4 linked regions of the Canis lupus familiaris genome follow. The main gene of each other region encodes a partner of the protein of the gene in region 2 in a complex. Links are inferred from orthologs where the notes say so. Each region holds a gene or a part of one and is shown on either strand. Other genes may lie near its edges. The genes, in order: ACTR2, ARPC4, ARPC3 and ARPC1B.

What was found.
Region 1: the proteins of ARPC4 (region 2) and ACTR2 are in contact, whole or in part, in a cryo-EM structure (PDB 6YW6), measured with the Homo sapiens proteins. The link is inferred for Canis lupus familiaris from reciprocal best matches to the Homo sapiens genes ARPC4 and ACTR2. Residues at the interface, in NP_005709.1 of Homo sapiens: Val29, Val30, Glu31, Arg32, His33, Lys35, Pro36, Glu39, Val40, Ala98, Glu99, Asn100, Phe102, Ile103, Leu104, Arg105, Arg106, Lys107, Leu117, Thr119; in NP_005713.1 of Homo sapiens: Tyr222, Val223, Tyr225, Gln229, Glu230, Lys232, Leu233, Ala234, Leu235, Glu236, Thr237, Thr238, Val239, Lys253, Thr308, Met309, Tyr310, Pro311, Gly312, Pro314, Ser315, Asp346.
Region 3: ARPC4 (region 2) and ARPC3 share a complex: the UniProt entries of both Homo sapiens proteins name them as parts of the arp2/3 complex. The link is inferred for Canis lupus familiaris from reciprocal best matches to the Homo sapiens genes ARPC4 and ARPC3.
Region 4: the proteins of ARPC4 (region 2) and ARPC1B are in contact, whole or in part, in a cryo-EM structure (PDB 6YW6), measured with the Homo sapiens proteins. The link is inferred for Canis lupus familiaris from reciprocal best matches to the Homo sapiens genes ARPC4 and ARPC1B. Residues at the interface, in NP_005709.1 of Homo sapiens: Gln17, Cys21, Leu22, Glu23, Asn24, Phe25, Ser26, Ser27, Gln28, Val29, Glu31, Arg32, Glu45, Leu46, Leu48, Glu124, Gln125, Tyr127, Lys128, His129; in NP_005711.1 of Homo sapiens: Glu9, Pro10, Asn28, Gln54, Thr72, Arg74, Asn96, Arg97, Ala98, Arg100, Ser143, Thr144, Cys162, Trp204, His206, Leu245, Pro246, His263, Ala319, Gly320, Lys326, Asn327, Ser328, Met350.

Annotation. Positions count from the first base shown.
Region 1 is NC_049231.1:65,984,684-65,989,910, reverse strand, and holds the start of ACTR2 (actin-related protein 2), read right to left. Parts: upstream 3,103-5,227; 5' UTR 2,968-3,102; coding exon 2,920-2,967; intron 1-2,919. UniProt on the Homo sapiens protein: ATP-binding component of the Arp2/3 complex, a multiprotein complex that mediates actin polymerization upon stimulation by nucleation-promoting factor (NPF).
Region 2 is NC_049241.1:8,515,915-8,520,388, reverse strand, and holds part of ARPC4 (actin-related protein 2/3 complex subunit 4), read left to right. Parts: intron 1-742; coding exon 743-861; intron 862-2,074; coding exon 2,075-2,186; intron 2,187-4,006; coding exon 4,007-4,102; intron 4,103-4,474. UniProt on the Homo sapiens protein: Actin-binding component of the Arp2/3 complex, a multiprotein complex that mediates actin polymerization upon stimulation by nucleation-promoting factor (NPF).
Region 3 is NC_049247.1:8,501,478-8,505,951, forward strand, and holds part of ARPC3 (actin-related protein 2/3 complex subunit 3), read right to left. Parts: intron 3,695-4,474; coding exon 3,595-3,694; intron 1,289-3,594; coding exon 1,170-1,288; intron 1-1,169. UniProt on the Homo sapiens protein: Component of the Arp2/3 complex, a multiprotein complex that mediates actin polymerization upon stimulation by nucleation-promoting factor (NPF).
Region 4 is NC_049227.1:10,284,374-10,289,529, forward strand, and holds the start of ARPC1B (actin-related protein 2/3 complex subunit 1B), read right to left. Parts: upstream 3,459-5,156; 5' UTR 3,312-3,458; intron 1-3,311. UniProt on the Homo sapiens protein: Component of the Arp2/3 complex, a multiprotein complex that mediates actin polymerization upon stimulation by nucleation-promoting factor (NPF).

The sequences.
Region 1 (5,227 bases), on a different chromosome or scaffold from region 2:
AGCCTGCTTCTCCCTCTGCCTGTGTCTCTGCCTCTCTCTCTCTCCGTGACTATCATAAATAAATAAAAATTTTAAAAAAATCTTAAAAAAAAAAAAGACTAACAACTATTTACATAAGTTTTTAGAAATTAAATTTGAACACCTTAGTATTTACTTGTAGATAACTCAGTATAGCTTTAGGTACCTAAACTAAATCAAGAGGACTATGAAATATAAGCAGTAAGAAATAGAGAATTTCTGTATTTAGAATACTCTAAATTTTCAGAAATATCACAGCATTCCTAGCTACATATTACATCAGAACTATTTCTTCATTTGAAGCCAGTCAGGTCTATAGAAAATTCAGATAAATTTTTAAAGTAATTAGAAATGTAACACCAAATACATAAATTTTGTTCAAATTAACTACATTTTTCCTTTACTGATCTCTTAAAGTACAAGAATCTTAAATTATGGATTAGCCATAAGCCTAATCAGTAACATACAATCAGCTTTCTACCTCAGGTAAACTAATGAAATAGTAATAAAAAAAGAACTCATGGCTAACACTCCTATTCTAATTGAATATCAAAAAGCTCATACACTACAAATACAGAGCTCATTATCATTCGAAGAGAAGGAATCCACTGAAATATAAAGGCTCTGATTTCTAAAGGGAATATAAAATATATCTACAAAAATATTTTAAATTCAATTTTTAAAGTCTTAGATTTATTTAGAGGTCAATTTGAGACTACAGGGGGAATCAAGCTACTTTTTTTTTTTTAAAGCACCTTTAACTGACTTTCAGCTATAAAAGTAATGTTTGTAGTTAATTTGAAGAGTCTCATGTTTTCTTAAAAAACAAAACAGACCACTTTCGAATAATGCAGAAGAGTCACAAAGCCTTTCCCATCTTCCCTCCCTCTTATCCCCAAACTCACAGGGTAACCTCTACGAACTTATTTCTCCCTCTAAAACTTTAGAAGTTTGTGGACACAGAAACATATTTACATGTTTCCATAGTGGTGGATCTTTTCTCTTTCTTTTTTTTTTTTTTAAGTATACGATTTTGAACGGATGTCCCATGATTATATCTCTTCTTACTCTCTTGTTTTTAACTTAGTTCATACAAAACTAATATAATCATCGCTTCTGAAAGTCTGTAAAACAGTAAGGGTAGTATTATGCCAGTAAATATCAGCTCTTTTATTTTTCATCCCAACAATCCAATTTCCAGAATATTTTAAAATTCAAGTAAAAAAATTTTTTTTCAGGTGTACAACGTAGTGATTTGACAACTGTATGTCGTGCCTCCCACACCACAGATGTAGCTGTCATCGGTCATCATATAAGTGCTGTAAAGATGCCACTGACCAGATTCGTACTTGTCATCCCTGTGATTTATCCACTTCATAACTGGAAGCCTATTTTCTTTTTTATTTTATTTTATTTTTTTTATTTTATTTATGATAGTCACACAGAGAGAGAGAGAGAGAGAGAGAGAGAGAGAGAGGGGCAGAGACATAGGCAGAGGGAGAAGCAGGCTCCATACACCGGGAGCCCGACGTGGGACTCGATCCCAGGACTCCAGGATCGCGCCCTGGGCCAAAGGCAGGCGCCAAACTGCTGCGCCACCCAGGGATCCCTGGAAGCCTATTTTCATTCGTATGCTACATTTATGGAAAAAAGAGGAGAAAAGTCATAAAATACCCTAAGTCCAAAATGATTGGAAATCATTGCAATGGGACAGCCCAGGTGGCTCAGCTGTTTAGCGCCTGCCTTCGGCCCAGGGCGTGATCCTGGAGACCCTGGATGGAGTCCCACGTCAGGCTCCCTGCATGGAGCCTGCTTCTCCCTCTGCCCCTCTCTCTCTGTGTGTCTCTCATGAGTAAATAAATAAAAATCTTAAAAAAAAAAAAAAAAAAAAAGAAAAGAAATCATTGCAATGTAGGGGCAAATGATCACTACAGAACTCATCCATCCCAGTAACACTTCTGTCTCCTAATGTGCCACTCCAAATAGGTTGCGTTTTTTTTTAATGGGGGGAGGGGTTTGAACGCAACAACTTTCACATGATTTCTAAATCAGTGTTTAGCCAATTTTTTTTTTTTTTTAACAATCGTCTGTCTTTTGGAATCTTAAAAACTTAACATGATCTGTGTTTCTGCATCTAAGGAAGTAGGATGGGGGAGGGAGTTACCAGAATTGGTGAACTTCCCCTGCAAGGTCCACAATGAACACTTGAGCCTTAGTGGGGGGGGGGGGCGGGGGGTGTCCCAGATCTCCCAAGATCAATGGACACAGACGTGCCTCTGCGGAGGCTGCACCGAGGCCAAATTCCCAGCCTGCATAACAAAAAGTAAATGATGCTTGGCTCCACGCTGCTCCCTCACCCCCGGGTAAGGGGGGAACAGCTCCAAAAACTGCGGCTGCCCGAAAACTGCGAAAGGGCTGCGGCTCGTTGCATGACAGCACTTCCCCCTTTTTTTTTTTTTTTTCTCTCCTCGAGCTCGTTTCCTGCCTGCCGTTCGGTATCTTCAATTCTACAGGAAGAGGAAGGCCCTCCTGGTGCTTCTCCCTTCTACAGAAGCAGCGACCCTGGGGAACAGAATCCTCATGGAGCAGACCTACCTGCCCGGCCTTTGACCCCTGCAGCCCTCTAGCCAGAGCATCCCCGTTGGGCGCGGCGGCGGCGGCCGGGCTGCAGGCTGGGTCCCCCCGGGCCTCCCCATCCCCCACCCCACCCCTCCGCCTCCAGCGTCCGCCAGGCCCGCCGCCCCGACCCCGAGCTGCCCCGGGTCAGCTCGCCCCCCACGCCCGCGGAGGCCGGAAGCGCTGCCCCGCGCCCCCGGGTCCCGGCGGCCCGAGGGCCCATGGGCGCCGCCGCGAGCGCCGAGGGCCGCCGCGCCACCAGCACGTCCCCGGCCGGGCGCTTACCCCGGTGCCGTTGTCGCACACCACCACCTTCCTGCCCTGGCTGTCCATCGTCCTCCCGGAAGAGAGCCGCCGCCGCCGAACGACCTACAGCCCCCGCCGCCCGGCCCTTTCCTCTTCCTCCTCCTTCCTCGCGGCCCCTCCTCCGCCCCAACTTTCTTCCACCAACCGGAAGTCTCCGCCCGGCCCCACCCGCCGTTTAAGACACGGAACGCACGGAAGGGGCGGGGATAAGAGGGCGGAGACAGAGACTGGCAGGCGTGAGGTCCAATAAGAGGCGGAGACGCGACGAGGCCCCGCCCACAGATCGGGTTTCCGCCGTCGCGGTCACCGCCCACCCGGGCTCTTCCTCGCTGCTTCCGGTTCCGGGAGCTTCGCCGGGCTTTCATGGCGGCGGGGCTGGCGGGTGCTGCGGTCCCGGGCGTCGCAGGAGTTGAGGGGGCTGCTTAGCTGTCTGCAAAAGAGGCAGGCAGGAAGGTGAGGGACCGTGCATCCGTGGCGAGAGGAGACAGCGGAGCGGGCGGACGCAGGGGAAGCAAACCTGCACGTCCCTGCTGACCCCACCTTTGAGCACGGCTTGCGGTTGTCCTTGCTCCCCAGGCCTCTTCGGGGAACAGAACTGGGCTGGATACACACACATGAAGTCATGCGTTTGTCCTGATATCTCCCAATTCCAGCCCACCCCCCACCCTTTTTGCCCAATTTGCCTTTAGTCAAGAGGGCGGTAGTGGGCACCTACCTTTTTAGGCCCGTGGCTCACCACTTCCTTTCCAGCAGCACCCCGCTGCTCCACACTCTCCAGTGTATGCACCTGTTTGCACCCAGTCTCGGCTTCGAAATCCAGCAGCACCTCGCTACTCCACACCTTTCCAGTGTATGCACCTGCTTGCACCCAGTCTCGGCTTCGAAATCCAGCAGCACCTCGCTGCTTCACACCTCACGCCTCTCCAGTGTATGTACCTATTTGCACCCAGAGTCTTGGCTTCGAAATCCAGCAGCACCTCGCTGCTTCATGCCTCTCCAGTGTATGCACCTGTTTGCACCCAGAGTCTCAGCTTCGAAATCCAGCAGCACCTCGCTACTCCACACCTCTCCAGTGTATGCACCTGCTTGCACCCAGTCTCGGCTTCGAAATCCAGCAGCACCTCGCTGCTTCACACCTCACGCCTCTCCAGTGTATGTACCTATTTGCACTCAGAGTCTCAGCTTCGAAATCCAGCAGCACCTCGCTAGTCCACACCTCTCCAGTGTATGTACCTATTTGCACCCAGAGTCTCGGCTTCGAAATCCAGCAGCACCCTCGCTACTCCACACCTCTCCAGTGTATGCACCTGTTTGCACCCAGAGTCTTGGCTTCGAAATCCGACGACCCCAGTTTCAAATACGGCCCTGCCACTCAAGCATTCTGTGATTTGGCCATACCCTCGCCTATGCATTGGAATGCTAACCTCTGCTTCCATGGCTGGTTGTGAGGATAAAATTCCATGCATAAAGTATCCATTCAGTGGTAGCTGTTTATTATTAATTACTTCTAAATGTATCGTTCTTTCTACCTATAATGCCTCTACCTTTTTTTTTTTAAATCCAATCAGGAGATGTCTGCACATCTGCACAAAGATGAAGACTTTGCTGATAACCCTCAAGATGCTCTTTGCTCTTTTTCTTCACTAATTAGTTTATCATGGATATATGCATAATATCGCGCTCATTACACTCAACAAGTATTGGATAAGTGATGTCAAAATTTACCTAGAAAAAAATGCCAGCATTTTTGACAGGTGACAACTACAATTGTGCCTTTCACATGGCTGTGTATGTACAGCGACTAGAATAAAACTTGGATCATGAATCCTTCAGTCCAGTATTATAATAGGCTGCCTCTCAGTTTTCACCTCTTTCTTTTATTAGACCAGTTTATTTGAATTTAGTCTTCTTCTTTTTTTTTTTTTTTTTTAAAGATTATTTGTTTTAGAGAGAGAGTGCTTGAGCATGGCAGGGACAGCAGGAGAGGGAAAGAGAGAATCCGTAAGCAGAATCCCTGCTGAGCGTGGAGCCTGATGCAGGGGTCAATCCCAGGACCCTGAGATCATGACCTGAGTCAAAATCCAGTCTACCACTTAACTGACTGAGCCACTCAGGTGTGCCCCTCAAATATAATCTTATGTGGAACTTCAACATATAAAATAGATTAAAGCTGCCATAGTAGTTGAAAGTTTGAGAAATTAGGATGGATAGGAGGCCCCAGGGAAATATGCCTTTTCTGCATCTTCTTTATTTTTTTTTAAGATTTTATTTATTAATTCATGAGAGA
Region 2 (4,474 bases):
CTCTACCCAGTTGAGCTATTTAGGGGTAGAGATGATCTTTAAAATCTTGACATTTAAATCAGTCCCTTGACATTTAAGTCAGCACACAGACTTATACATTATTGGCTCAAATACAGATTGAGGATAGTCATTCACCTGTATGCCTCTAGACCAGAATTTCTCAACCTCAGCACTATTTGGGGTAGAATAATTCCTTTATTTTTATTAATTTATTGTTCTAGGCTTTATTATAGAGAGAGAGCAGGGGAGGAGGGGGCAGAGAGAGGGGGAGAAACTCTCAAAGGGACTCTGCACTGAGCTCGCAGCCTGATGTGGGGCTAGATCCCACAACTCCGAGATCATGACTCAAGCTGAAATCAAGAGTCAGACATTTGAGCCACCCAGGCACCCCTGAATAATTCTTCTTTGTGCATTGTAGGATGTTTAGCAATATACTGGGCCTTGACTCGATGCCAGTAGCACTCCCGCCATATGCCAAATCCCGTCAATGAAAAATGTCCCTACATTGCTGCATGTCCGCTGGCAAGAAAAATGGTCCCCTGTTGAGAGCCACTCTTGATTTAGAATCAAAGGCACCTTGAAGGCCCAGTCTATTTGGTTCACTGTGGTGTCTGAGAGCCAGGTACTCTCAGTACTGCCTGGTTCCCATGTAGCTGGAGGAGAGTTTGCTAAAACAGATTCTGTTTCAGTTGGGGGTTTGCTAAAATAGATTGTGATTCTCCCTTGGGTTTTTTTCCTACAGACTGCCACTCTCCGCCCCTACCTGAGTGCCGTGCGGGCCACACTGCAGGCTGCCCTCTGCCTGGAGAATTTCTCCTCCCAGGTCGTGGAACGACACAACAAGCCAGAAGTGGAAGTCAGGTAGGGAAGAAAAAGGTCAAGGTGGGGGTGATGAGCTCAGTCCCAGAGATGGCAGTTATCTGGAGTTCGCCATGAATTTCCGTTCCAGAGTGGTCAAGCCAACTATAGTTCACATATTTTGTCTTGTTGCCAGATGAGCAGTGGTTCCCAATTTGCAGTTCAGAAAATAGGGTCAGTGGGTTGGCAGGACAAAACCCAGGGGAGAAGCTCCTCTGGAGCCAAGATTGCTTGACACAAGATCTGGCTTCTCAGAGTAGGACTGTTCGGTAAGAATCTCCTGTGTCATTATTGAACCCAATTTAAGGAGAGAGTGGAGAATTTTGTTTGATGCCTTCTCCATCCTCTTGGAATTTAAAGATCAGGGAATGTTTTTTCTCCGACCAACCCGGACTGTCTCATCCCTTACTCTAAATACTTCATATTTTGGGTTATTTTCTCTTACCTAGTTTATGTTTTGTTAAATTATTCTGTTCTCCTTTAAAGTTTAATCTGATACACATATAACTGAGATAAGCAATATTACCACACCATGTTCAAATGATTTGAATTTAAAAATACTGACAAGATGTTAGCGTTTGTTGTGCTGCTCTACTTAACATATGTGATTTCTACTGGGCATTTTAATTACCGTTACAAATACTTAGAGATTTCAGAGGCATCAAAATGGAAGCTGAGCTGAGAGGGGTCTTAATGCTAAATAAGTGAATCATTCTGGATTGATAATTAAAGGAGACCAAACTCTGTTTGATTTTAGCTTATCCTTATCCCTAATGCAGCCTCTTTTCTCATTCCCTAAATGGTATATGGGTTTGCCCGTAGTTATTAAAATAAGAGCTGTCATTTATAAAGCTCCTACCATGTGCCAGGCACTCTTAATAGACAATTGACCCTTTCTGATCTCTCTCAATCCTCACCAGTGAAATAGGAATCAGTCATTTTACAGATGAGGAAATTGAGATTCCAACAGGGTAACTTGTCCAAGGAAAGTAACAGAGGAGGCTGGATTTCAAAACCTTATCGCCCTGACTCCAGAGCCTTGCTCCTTCTGTTGGAGAACACACTCGCTGGCCCCCATCTTGGAGCACCCCTACTTGTGAGTCTCCTATTCCTTGGACTCTGTGGTCTCAGATAGAGATTCCAGGGCCTGCTGTGGGTCTCTCTGAGCATTCTGTTCCTCTGTAGTACAGATGCCTCTGTGACATTGTATTTTCAGGAGTAGCAAAGAGCTCCTGTTACAACCTGTGACCATCAGCAGGAATGAGAAGGAAAAAGTTTTGATTGAGGGCTCCATCAACTCTGTCCGGGTCAGCATTGCTGTGAAACAGGTGAGCTCATTACTGAGCCCTTGCCTCCTCAGGAGGTCAGGGGTCCCCATCTGAGAGATCGTCATGCCAGATTCAAGGTGCAAGGAAACCCAGGCTCCATTTCCTTGACTATACCCAGGGAATGGTTCTCCAGATTCAGCAGGTCAGTAGAGACAGCAACCATATCTTCTAGGCTTCCTTTAGATTAGAAGTGTGGAAAAGTTGCAGCTAAGGCCATGGCCAGTTTGGTGTCTGGTCAAAGAATCATTTATAAGGAAGGCAGAATAAGTCCAGTTTAGAAAAATAAATAATAGGGCAGCCCAGGTGGCTCAGCGGTTTAGCACTGCCTTAAGCCTAGGGCATGATTCTGGAGACCTGGGATCGAGTCCCATGTCGGGCTCCCTGCATGGAGCCTGCTTCTCCCTCTGCCTGTGTCTCTGACTCTCTATCTGTTTATCGAATAAATAAATAAAATCTTTAAGAAAAAAAAAAATACCAGTATCAATTTAATAGCCATAAACTTTGAAATAGAGATTTAGCATGAAAGTGTAATTTCATTTCTTTTCTTTTCTTTTCTTTTCTTTTCTTTTCTTTTCTTTTCTTTTCTTTTCTTTTCTTTTCTTTTCTTTCTTCCTTTTCTTTCTTTCTTTTCTTTCTTTCTTTCTTTCTTTCTTTCTTTCTTTCTTTCTTTCTTTCTTTCTTTCAATTTTGTTTATTTGAGAGAGCAGAGCAAGGGAGAGCACATGGGTGGAGAGGAAGGGTGGAGGGAGAGGGACAAGCCGACACCCCGCTGAGCAGGGACCCTGATGTGGAGCTCAGTCTCAGGACCCTGCAATTATGATCTGGGCCAAAGGCAGATGCTCAACCACTGAGCCACCCAGGCATCCCAGAAAATGGATTTTCTTAAATTGACTTTTCTTTTACTTAAATTTGTTTGAAAAAGAAACTTTATGCCATAATGGAAAAACCGTATCACTTGTTACCTAGGGAGAACTCTAAAAAAAGTAAATTCAGTGAAAGAAAATAAAGCTGTTACTTAGACTGGGTCCTGTTGCCTATAGAAAGCTCTATCCTTAGGGTCTGCTCTGTTAAAAAGGGAGATTAACAAGTGTTGGGAGGTGTTAAGGGCGTACCTGCCAGCACCCAGCTGCAAAATCCTTTCATTAGAACTAGTAAGAGTTCAGGCAGCCTGGGTGGCTCAGCGGTTTAGCACCGCCGTCAGCGCAGGGCGTGATCCTGGAGACCCAGGATTGAGTCCTGCGTCGGGCTCCCTGCATGAAACCTTCTGCCTGCCTCTCTCTCTCTCTCTCTCTCTCTCTCTCTCTCTTTCTCTTTCTCTCATGAATAAATAAATAAAATATGAAAAAAACAACAACAACTAGTAAGAGTTCAGCAGGGAAAAACTTTGGGGATTATTTAATATTCATTGTTATTGAAGCGAAAACCACCTAAGTTTATCTCTGAGAACTTCAGATGGTATATATATATCATAGACTTTGGGAAATACAGCACTAGTGAATGGGAAAGGGAGAGGCCGCTTTCAGTGTAGGTATGGCCTCTGCAAGGAGCAGATAAAAGACTTGGGTTTGCCAGAACTACCGCTCTGGAATGGGTGAAAATGAAATTGTGGTAATGCCCTATTGAATTGAAGAGGCTCTCAACTGCCGACATTCAGTTGGCAGTCACCTGCCCCATGATTCAGGTAGTCATTGCTCCTGATGCCAAACCTCACTACCTGCAGCGAGTCTGGGGGAAATTGAAGTCAGAAGACCAGACTACAGGTTTCTGTTGGCCTGTATTGTCAGATTTAGGGAGCCCTGTTTATTTTTCTCTCTCACTAGGCTGATGAGATCGAGAAGATTTTATGCCACAAGTTCATGCGCTTCATGATGATGCGAGCAGAGAACTTCTTTATCCTTCGAAGGAAACCAGTGGAGGTGAGACCATGTGATCCACATGTTCATAATACCCAAGATTCTTTCACTAAGTCTACTGTCATTGCCCTGGGATTGTTGGTAGAACCAGGATTGCTGCTCTTCCAGCTGTAGGTCACCCATTGTCTGAGAGTTGGCCTTTGTTTCGGCTAGAGTGAGAATAAGGAGCATCAGAAGCTTAGGAGAAGTTGCGTCTGCCTCAACCATGGGAAAGGCAAAAAATACAGGATGCGTTGCTCATCTTTTCAGAGCCTACAGTCTAATGGCAGAAAAGACACAATGAATCAGAAATCCTTTCTAAGTTTTGTCACCAACTAAATTGTTATCTTTCAGGGCCACAGTTGACATTGGCTTAGTGTTGCCTGGCTTTGTTCT
Region 3 (4,474 bases), on a different chromosome or scaffold from region 2:
GCCTTGACAAACATCATACTTAGACCATGCATCAAATACAGCAAACACTGTGAGTATTGTAGGATGTTTAGACTACAGTCTGTAGACCACGAGCCTGCAAACAAAGATTTCACATCCTGTTTGATTCCAAAAGGTCAAAGTCTGGCCAGGAAAGGAAATTCCATATTCTAGAATAGTATCAAGAAAAGTTGACATTCCTGTAACTTGCTCACATGAGGAACTCAATAAACTCAATAAAGTTCTTTCTCTCCTCTCCTTTTTTGCCACCTTCCTTCTACCCTCTTTTTGACCTCATTCCTCACACGAACTAAGAGCAGAAAGGAAGAAAGGATAGTTGAGGAACGATCAGGATCATTGAAGTTTCTTTATTTCTTCATCTCATGGCCAGAACACAGAAGTATATATAGAAATAACATAGCATGTAGGGTTTTTTCATTTTGAACTGGCACATGGTAGGTGCTTTATTAATGTTGAACAAATAAAAATGTCTAGATCTTGGGTTGGCAAACTTCCTCTATAAGAGATCAAATATTAAATATTTTAGGTTTTGTGGGCCAGTCTTTGTCACAACTATTCAATCCAGCTGCTGTGGCATGAAACCAGTCATAGACACTATGATAAAAAATGAATGTGGCTGTGTTCCAATAAAACTTTATTCATAAATGCTCTACATGCAGCTCCCCCTGATCATACTCTCTTAACAACAATAACAACAAAAAGAGGCAGTGGGCCAGATTTGGCTCTCAGGCTGTAGTTTGTTGACCCATGGTATAGACTTTGGAGGAAAAACGAGAAACTAATACTGAGTCTAATATTAGGCACTATTCTGGTTTTAAATTTTTTTAAATTTTATTTATTTTTTATTTGAGAGAGAGAGAGCACAGAGTATAAGTAGGGAGGGGAGGGAAAGGGGCAGAACGAGAGGGAAAAAGACTCTCTGCTCAGCCCAGAACCAGATGTGGGACTTGATCCCAGGAACCCAGGATCATGACCTGAGTCGATGGCAGATACTTTACCAACTGAGCCACTCAGGTGCCCCACTATTCTCATTTTTTAAAGTCATACAATCTCATTCAATTTTATTTATTCTTCAGAACAACCCTGACTACCAGGTAGCTTATTATCCACACCAGAAAACTAAATTAAATATTAAAAGCTCTGTACTTTACCTTAATCTCATAGTTTTTGAAGAAGACATTGGCCTTGAAGTAATAAATGGCTTCATCCACAATATCTGTATCTTTTGCTAAACAGGACCGAAGAGGGGGGTGGAGGCAGAGAACATGAGCTAAAATATAACAATAACACTTAAAAAAGCTAGAGAGTAAACTTCCCAGCTCCATGGTCAAAGGAGTTGAGTTCCATAAAATGAGGCCACTGAAATATAATGTCTTTAGAAACAATATCTAGAAAAATAAGGATATGGTTTATTCTGATAGCTTTATTGTTTTTATAAAAAAATATTCTCATTAGGAACAAATTAACCAGTACCAAAAAACATTTTATTGTCACTCTAAATCTCACTACCTAGAAATAACTACTATTATCATTTGGTGAACATCATTCCAGACATTGAGAGATGTCTCAATGTTCATTTATAAAAATGAACTTAGGCATAGACTAAACCTTGATAAGATGCTGTTTAAATAAAAAGTATTCAATCTAATTCTATTTGAATTTATATTCTATGGTTTCAGGCGGAAAAAAACCCTCAACTATCATTTAGGAACACACTGGGCTTACACATACATCTTTCTTTTTATGAAAACCGTGCTTAAAATATACTTGTACATGCTGTTCTAGGTGGCGAGAGACTGAGAAAAGCCAGAAATGCTGTTGTGACAAAGACAGATCTCATTATACAATTTCTTTGGCAGGTTTTTGTTTTCCTTTTCTTATTTTAAAAAGGTCAAAATCCCAGGGTCTTGATATCCAGCAGCCGGTTGCAGCAATGCAGAGACAGTTTTTTGGTGGTCTTTTTTTTTTTTTTTTTTCCAGAGTTATTTATATTGTCCAATGACTGCTCTCCCTCTCACACAGAAGAAATGCAAAGTAATCCTGGAGGTTTAGTACTCTGTGATTCAGCTGTCTTTAACCCTACTCATTCCCCTGCTAAAGAACGCAACAGAATTCTAACTCTAGACTCCTGTTCTTGCAATTTTCTTATGTGCAAAAAGGAAACTTCCTCAGAAGATTCCATATTGTTTATAAAACCAGCTAGTTCTTCTAAATGTAACAATGTGGGGGTGGGGGGTGAGGAACGGGGCGGGGGTGGGCTACAAGATTCAGAACCTAGAAGGGTGTTTGGCACAGAAAGGTGCTCAAAAGGTGTCTGATGAATGTAAAGAAATGAATTTGATTAATGCTAACAGTTATTTTGCTCACAGCATAGGCCTGTACTCTTTCATAATTCCAGTTCAGTTCCAATCCTGTCCACTGGGAAAGAATAACAGGTCATTCTCTGTCTACAGAAACCATGTCCATCTGGTTTCTTGGGGTCCTGCTCTCCCTCAAGGGCCCACGAGTTGTTGCGAAGGTGGTAATTAGATACACTCCATCTCTAGTCAACTGCATCTTCTGATATGCTACATGGTATTTTGTAAAGATCTGAAAAGAGTTCTTCTCAAGGAATCTGGGCCAACATGGATTTTTTTATTCTTTCTTTGCACTGTAATTCTTTTACATTATTTTTCTTCTTTTAAATCTTTTTTTTTTTTCCCATCTGTTCCTTTTTCTTCATCTCAGAATCAAGTAAAAACTGTGGTAACTCACCAAGTTTATTTAGTTTACTGAGCTTTCAACTGGTGTTGAAAATAAACTTAAGGAGAGGTCACGTCAAATAGTCTGGCAGAGGAATGAAGATGGGGTCAGTGCAAATTGCAATGAAAACCTTAAAAACCTTGAATGGAACTCAGTGCAGATGCTTTCTGGATGCAAGGAAGCCATGTCTGCTATAATATAAATTACACTGTTGGTAGAACATCTCAGAATGTATCCAAAGAGTCTAAAAAGAAGGAGGCTTTCTGAACAGTAAGGAAATGTTTCAAAAAAAAGGGGAAGTACTAAAAAAAGAAAAGATATAAAATTCAGAAAAGCAAGAGAAACAATGTGTAATTTTACATAAGACACTTACAACTTAAGATCCAGGTACTGCTGAAAATGAAGATCCTGAAGAATGAATAAAGGAAGTAGATACAGACAGGGGAAGGAGTTAAAATGTCTTCTTTGTTTTCCTCAGCCTTACAACAGAAAAAGGATGGGGACATGGTATCCTACAGAAGTAGTAGCATTAGATCACTTTGTAAGTACTGACAGTGATGACAGAATAATGTCAAAAATAAGTAATATTTCCTCATCCCTCTCAACAAAATATTCAGAAGAACTCAGCAGCATTAATACACTTTCTTACTAGATGCAATGTATACTCCTGATCTTGAAAGGTCTAGAATGCAATATCCACCAAACAAATAGAATATCCAAGAGCAGTCTGAGACAGAGGACTGAGCTAAGAATTTGCCTGATTTGTTAATGTCAGAGAGTTGCTAGATGTTTTCTACTAAAATCTGAGAACAATAGAAAGAAGTTTTGACTTACTCTCTCTAGGGGCGGGTCCTTTGAATTGACTTCTGATAGGCAACAATGCCATGTTTCCAATGAGTTTGGTGTCAGGGTCCATGAGAGAAGAGTGGTAAGCCTGTAGTGGCAAGCCAGGTAAGAATATGGAGACAGAAAGAGAGCAAACATCAGCAGGGCACACAAGAAACATTTCTCTAAAGGGAAAAAGAAGAACCCACCCAAGACTAACCAGGAGGAGGATCAAAGGTTGGTAGCAGCAATACGCTAGAGCTGGCTTTTACTGGCTCAAGAAAACTGAATGTTAAATTTTGAGCAATTATTTTTAAAATATTTTAATTATTTATTCATGAAAGACAGAGAGAGAAAGAGAGAGAGGCAGAGACACAGGCAGAGGGAGAAGCAGGCTCCATGCAGGGAGCCTGATGTGGGACTCGATCCTGGGACTCCAGGATCACGCCCTGGGCTGAAGGCAGGTGCTAAACCGCTGGGCCACCCAGGGATTCCCAATTTTGAGCAATTAAAAAAATTATTTAAATAATCTGCACCCCACATGGGGCTCGAACTCACAACCCGGAGATCAAAAGTTGCATGCTCTTGGGATGCTTGGGTGGCTCAGAGGTTGGGCATCTGCCTTTGGCTTGGGTAGGGATCCCGGAGTTCCGGGATCAAGTCCTGCATCTGGCTCCCTGTGGGGAGCCTGCTTCTCCCTCTGCCTGTGTCTCTGCCTCTCTCTCATGAATAAATGAATAAATCTTTATATTTTTTTTAAAAAAAGAGTTGCATGCTCTTCCCACTGAGCCAGCCAGAAGCATCTATGTTTTGAGGAATTTTGAAAAATATTGAGGCAAGCTGGTTATTAAAAACAGCCGTTAATGGGATGCCTGGATGGCTCAGCAGT
Region 4 (5,156 bases), on a different chromosome or scaffold from region 2:
ACTGTTGCCTCAGGGCAACATCCTCCTAGAGCAGAATCACTGGATTGTTCCCGTGGTCAGGCAAAGCAACAACACAGCCTTCACACTGGGCCACCCCCTGCTGCGGGAACTTTGACTTAATCCTTCCCAGGAAAACCTCCATGGGGGGATGGGAAGGCACCGACTGCCAGCCAGTCACCCTAAAGACTATGCAACTAGAGTTGCTTTTGCCCAAGCCTGTTAACAACACAAAGCCTCAGCAATGGCTCCGGGGACGGGGAGACAAAGGGAGGCTGAGGCCATGGCCTCCAGGACACCCACCCACTTGTCAAGGCAGCCCCGTGAGCCAGCACCATGGGCCCATTTGACTGTTGAGGACAGAGAGAGGAACCGTGTTGGGACTTGGAGTCCACGTGCAGTGATCTGTGCCTCATTATCCCAGAAACAGAGGCTGGGGGAGTGTGGGTCAAATGTGGAGTCTCCCCTGGCTGGCTCCCCTCTGCCAGCCTAACGCCAGGATCTCTGTGTTCCCAGCGGCACGTTCCCTGCGTCCTTTCAGCACACAGTGAAGGCTCAGTACAAATGGGCTGGAGATTACCCAGGGCTGGGCGTGGGAGAGCACAGGGAAGAGCGGCATGAGGTCTGGGAGGGGTTTTGGGTCTCCAGAGTGTGGTTTCCATCCAGAGGGTGCCATGCCAGAAACCATGCACCGGGGTATGGACGCGAACTATCTAGGGGCATGGTAGGTGCTATGTCCACCCACGTATCCTCAGCACCAATTAGAGTTCCTGGCACATAACAGGTGCTCAATACGTATTTCTTGAAGGCAAATTGAATAAATCCCATCCTTTTCTTTAGGGGATAGGCTCCAAGGAATGAATATGCTTTATTATTTCAGTGACATATGTATGCAATTTGTAAATATTTACTGGGGAGTATGTGTTCAGTTTTGTTTTGTGTTCTTCCTGATTAGGGTCAATGATTAGCAAAACTTGGAAATCTGAAATCTAGAAGATCCTCTGCTGAGCACTTGGGAAGAACTCAGCTCCCCTCAGAGCAAAGCAAGCCAGGTAGAGCCTTGGGCTGCCTGACCGAGGGCCTCAGGGCTCCTTCCTTACAGCGTTAGGGTCAAATTCTAACTCTCCATACCAACTGGATGCCCTCAGCCAATACTTCCTTCACATCTCTACCAGAAAAGGTGGGGGCTGAACAAGGCACTAGCTGTAGGTTCCTTATTGCTTCTAGAAAAACCTGGCCAAGGTTCTCTGAAGCCAGAGGTTTGGCTGTATCTGAGGCTAATCTAGGCAGGAGCCATCTGGAGCAGGATCTTGGCCCTACAGGCACTCAGGGAAGTCCCCACCCAGCTCAGACGCTCCAGGGAGTTGCCAGTAAGCCATTTTGTACACGTGCTAAGCAGTTACTCAACTTCCTGTTGTGTATGGAATAGGCCTTGCCACCCCAGACCAGCCAAAACCTCCTCCCCAACTCTGCTCCTGAAGTCTTAACCAGGCAAAAATCAAGTCAAGACACATAAATGAAAACAATCATAGAAAGCACCATAAAGCGTACTAATAAAGCAATCCAAACAAAACAAAATCCAAAAACACATAAAACTCAATGTTGGCAGGGTTGTGGAGAAATTCTCATTTGTTCAGCCTTTCAGAAGAGCGATGTAAAAACAATTCAACAACTGGGTAGGAACAAGCAGAATAACACAAACAGGAACTTAAAAATTAACACTCTTTGGTGGCATAGATTCATTTTGGTGCTAAGAAAATAACCACCGACTTTTTTTTTTTTTTTTAAGCAAACATGTTCATAATAACCCCCTCTAGAATGGTGGAAGGGTGGAAAAATCCAGATGACTACAAATATGGCAAGAGTAAATTGTGACACTAACATGTTGGGATATCATTTAACTATTTGAAAAGACCTGTGTGGATTATGTACATAGACACACATAAACTACCTTTACCGGCATCTTTAAATGCACAGCATTTTTACCCACAGCTTTGACATACATTCTTTTACCCCCAAGAGCAAGCCTAAAGGGTTGTTTTGGGTTTCTTTCGTGTTTTTTTAAACCTTCATTTTGTACATGAGGAAAAAGACTCAGAGTCAAGAATCGGGGATGCCTAGGTGGCTCAGTAGTTGAGCATCTGCCTTTGGCTCAAGTCATGATCCTGGGGTCCTGGGATTGAGTCCCACATCAGGCTCCCCTCGGGGAGCCTGCTTCTCCCTCTGCCTGTGTCTCTCTGCCTCTTTCTGTGTGTGTCTCTCATGAACAGAGATATAAAATCTTTAAAAATAAATAAATAAATAAATAAATAAATAAATAAATAAATAAATAAATAAATAAAAACAAACAAGAATCTCTCAAAGCCACACAGCTCCTACATGGCAGTTTGGGATTCTGACCCCCAAATCTCAGAGGTTAGCATCATCCAGACACTTTGGTAAGTGCGGGCAGGCCCTACAATGGTAGTGGCAGCAGGAAGAGCACCGACCTGTACCCAGCGTGTGCCTGGCACAACCCAGTGCCTTCCACACACAATCCCAGGTAAGCCTCGCCACTTGAAAGGTCCCCATTTTACAGAGGAGGAAGGTTGAGGTCCAGAGCCGTCAGGTGGCCTGCTAAGGAAGCTGGCGCGCTCAACCCCGGCCCGGGGGCCTCCCGGGAACCGGTGCCCGTGGCCGGGGCAGCACCACCTGCCAGGCGCGGGGGCCCGCCGACGGCCTCCAGCTCAGCGCCGCGTTAGGCGGGCGGCGGGCTCCGGGCTCCGGGCTCCGGGCTCCCGCTAGTCCCGCCGGCCTTGCTGTCACCGCCCCGGGCGGCCCCGCTGGGTCCCCGCCTCCGGCGAAGGGGGACCCCCTCCGGGTAGGGTCGGCGGCCCCGGCCCCGGGGCGCCCGGAGGGCCGGGGCGGGGGGCGGGGGCGCGGGGGAGGGGCCAGGTGGGCGGGGGCGCCAGCTCATTTCCCGGCCGGAGCAACCCGGAAGGCTGGAGGATGGAGGGGAAGTGACTGGGCGTGGGGCCCTCGCCGCCCGGAATAGCGGGGGGCAGCGGCCGCGGGGTAGAGCCGGGGAGCGCAGGCCGGGCCAGGGCGCCCCGCGCTCCCCTCGCCCCGAGGCGGCCGCCCACCCCGGGCCCGGGCCGCCGTCCCCGCCCTGCTCTCGCCTCCGGGCGACCCCACGCACCTGGCGAGCCCCCGCCCCGGGCCCCTTCCCCCGGGCACCCCCTCCCCGCGCTCCTGCGCCCCCGCGGGCGCCCCGCACCCTCCCCACCTGCAGGCAACTCCCCGCTACCCCCTGCGGGCGGCCCCAGCCCCCTCACCTCGGGGCGCCCCGGCCGCGGACTCTGGGCAGTCGACGCGCCGAACCGGCTCTGGGCCCCGCGCGGCGCCGCAGCCACTTCCTCGTGGGCGGGGGCGGGGCCTCAGCCTCAGCCCCGCGGGGACCGGGGCGGCAACCAGGGTGGCGGCCAGAGCCCAGGCCCCGCCCACCCATCCGGGGTGGGGGCTGCGCGGAGCCCGGGCGCCCGGCGCTCCTCCGCAACCGCCCCTTGCAACTTTACGCGCGGGGAAACTGAGGCTCGGAGCGGCAGCTGGGCGGGGTGCGCGCCTTCCCTCCTCCCGGAGCTGATGGCCACGGGGCGCGGCAAGTGCAGGCCCGGGACCGGGTGCCCGCGGGCGGGCGGGCGGCCCCCGCCCCTCCCCCGCCCCTGCCCCGCCCCCCGTGCCCGCCGCAGCACCCTCCCGGGGCCGGGTGCCCGCGGGCTCGCACTGACGACTTCCTGCCCCTGGATCCGCCGCAGTCCACTCCTGCCTCCCAGCTGCCTGGTGGCCTTGTGGCCACATGCATTTGGGTCTTGGGCCGAGTGGTCCCCAGGGGTCTTTCTATCCTTAGCCTCTGCCTCATCGGTGGAGATGTGACCAGGTGGCTGCGCGGATGGGGGAGCCCCCGGCGAAAACCCCCTCCTGCGCCCTCTCTTAGCGGGGGGCTCCTCCCCAGGAGTCCTCCCTCCCAGGCGCAGGCAGCAGCAAGCCGCACTGGGGCTCTGTGGTCTTTCCGGAGGCAGGGGATCGGGATCTGGGGCCAGACGCCCACCCTGACAGGTCCCGGGGCTTTGACACATGGTTTTCTTTCTGCCTGGAACACTTCCCCCCCCCCCCCCGTCCCCCCCCTGCAGGGTTTGTCTCTTAGCTCACTCTGTCCACAACCCTCTGCCCTGGAGGTGACTGCGGGGCTCCCAGCAAGACCCTGCGCCCACCAGTCCCGGCTGCCATCAACACTGAATCCTGCCCCTGCAAGGTGGCTGGGAGGATTCCATGTCTCCAAACGTGGGAGCTCTCCCAGTAGTGAGCGCGCAGTGAGCGCTCAGCAAGCTTCGGCTATGGTTTGAAAGGACCAAAGGACCGCCAGCAGCCTTCCTGGCTGAGACTCTGAGGGGCTGGCGCCGCCCTCCCATCTAGCTGTGGCCAGTCCCAGCATGGCTGCGGGATGAACAGAAAAAGTTTCAGATGATCTGTACCAGCACCCCCTTCTTGTGGGGGACAAGTGCAACTTAACACAGAGGGCACATCTGTTGCCTCCCTGGCTTCTAGATGCCCAGGGAATGACCCCAGGGGGAGCTGACCCCCACCTCTGGCATGGGCCTGATGGCTCTAACCCCATCGGCTCCTGGGGTCCCCTGTCCTGAGCTCATGAGCTCAGATGGCCAGGGTAAAGCAAGCCCAGGACATGATGATGATGATGATGATGATGATGATGATGATGCTGCTGCTGCTGCAAGCCCAGGACATGATGATGATGATGATGATGATGATGATGATGATGATGATGGTGGTGGTGGTGGTGGAAGGGAGGGAAGACTCTTCTGGGTGAGCTGCAAGAATCTGAACACGAAAGTGGAACAGCACAAGGGAAGCTAGATGACATAGAGCTCAGGTGGAGGAAATCCCAGAAATGACCAGCACCATGGTCAAACTCTGACTGGTCAGCTTGAGCCCAACCAGCTTCCAGAGGTTTCAGACCACTGGGACCGGTGAGCCGAGGACTCTACTGTTTAAGCTTGGTTTGGGTTGAGACTGTGTTACCCATCTCTAAAAGCATCCGGACACATCTAAACACCTGAGGGTTACCTCCTCATGGTGAAAACAGATTATAAACTCTGTGAGCG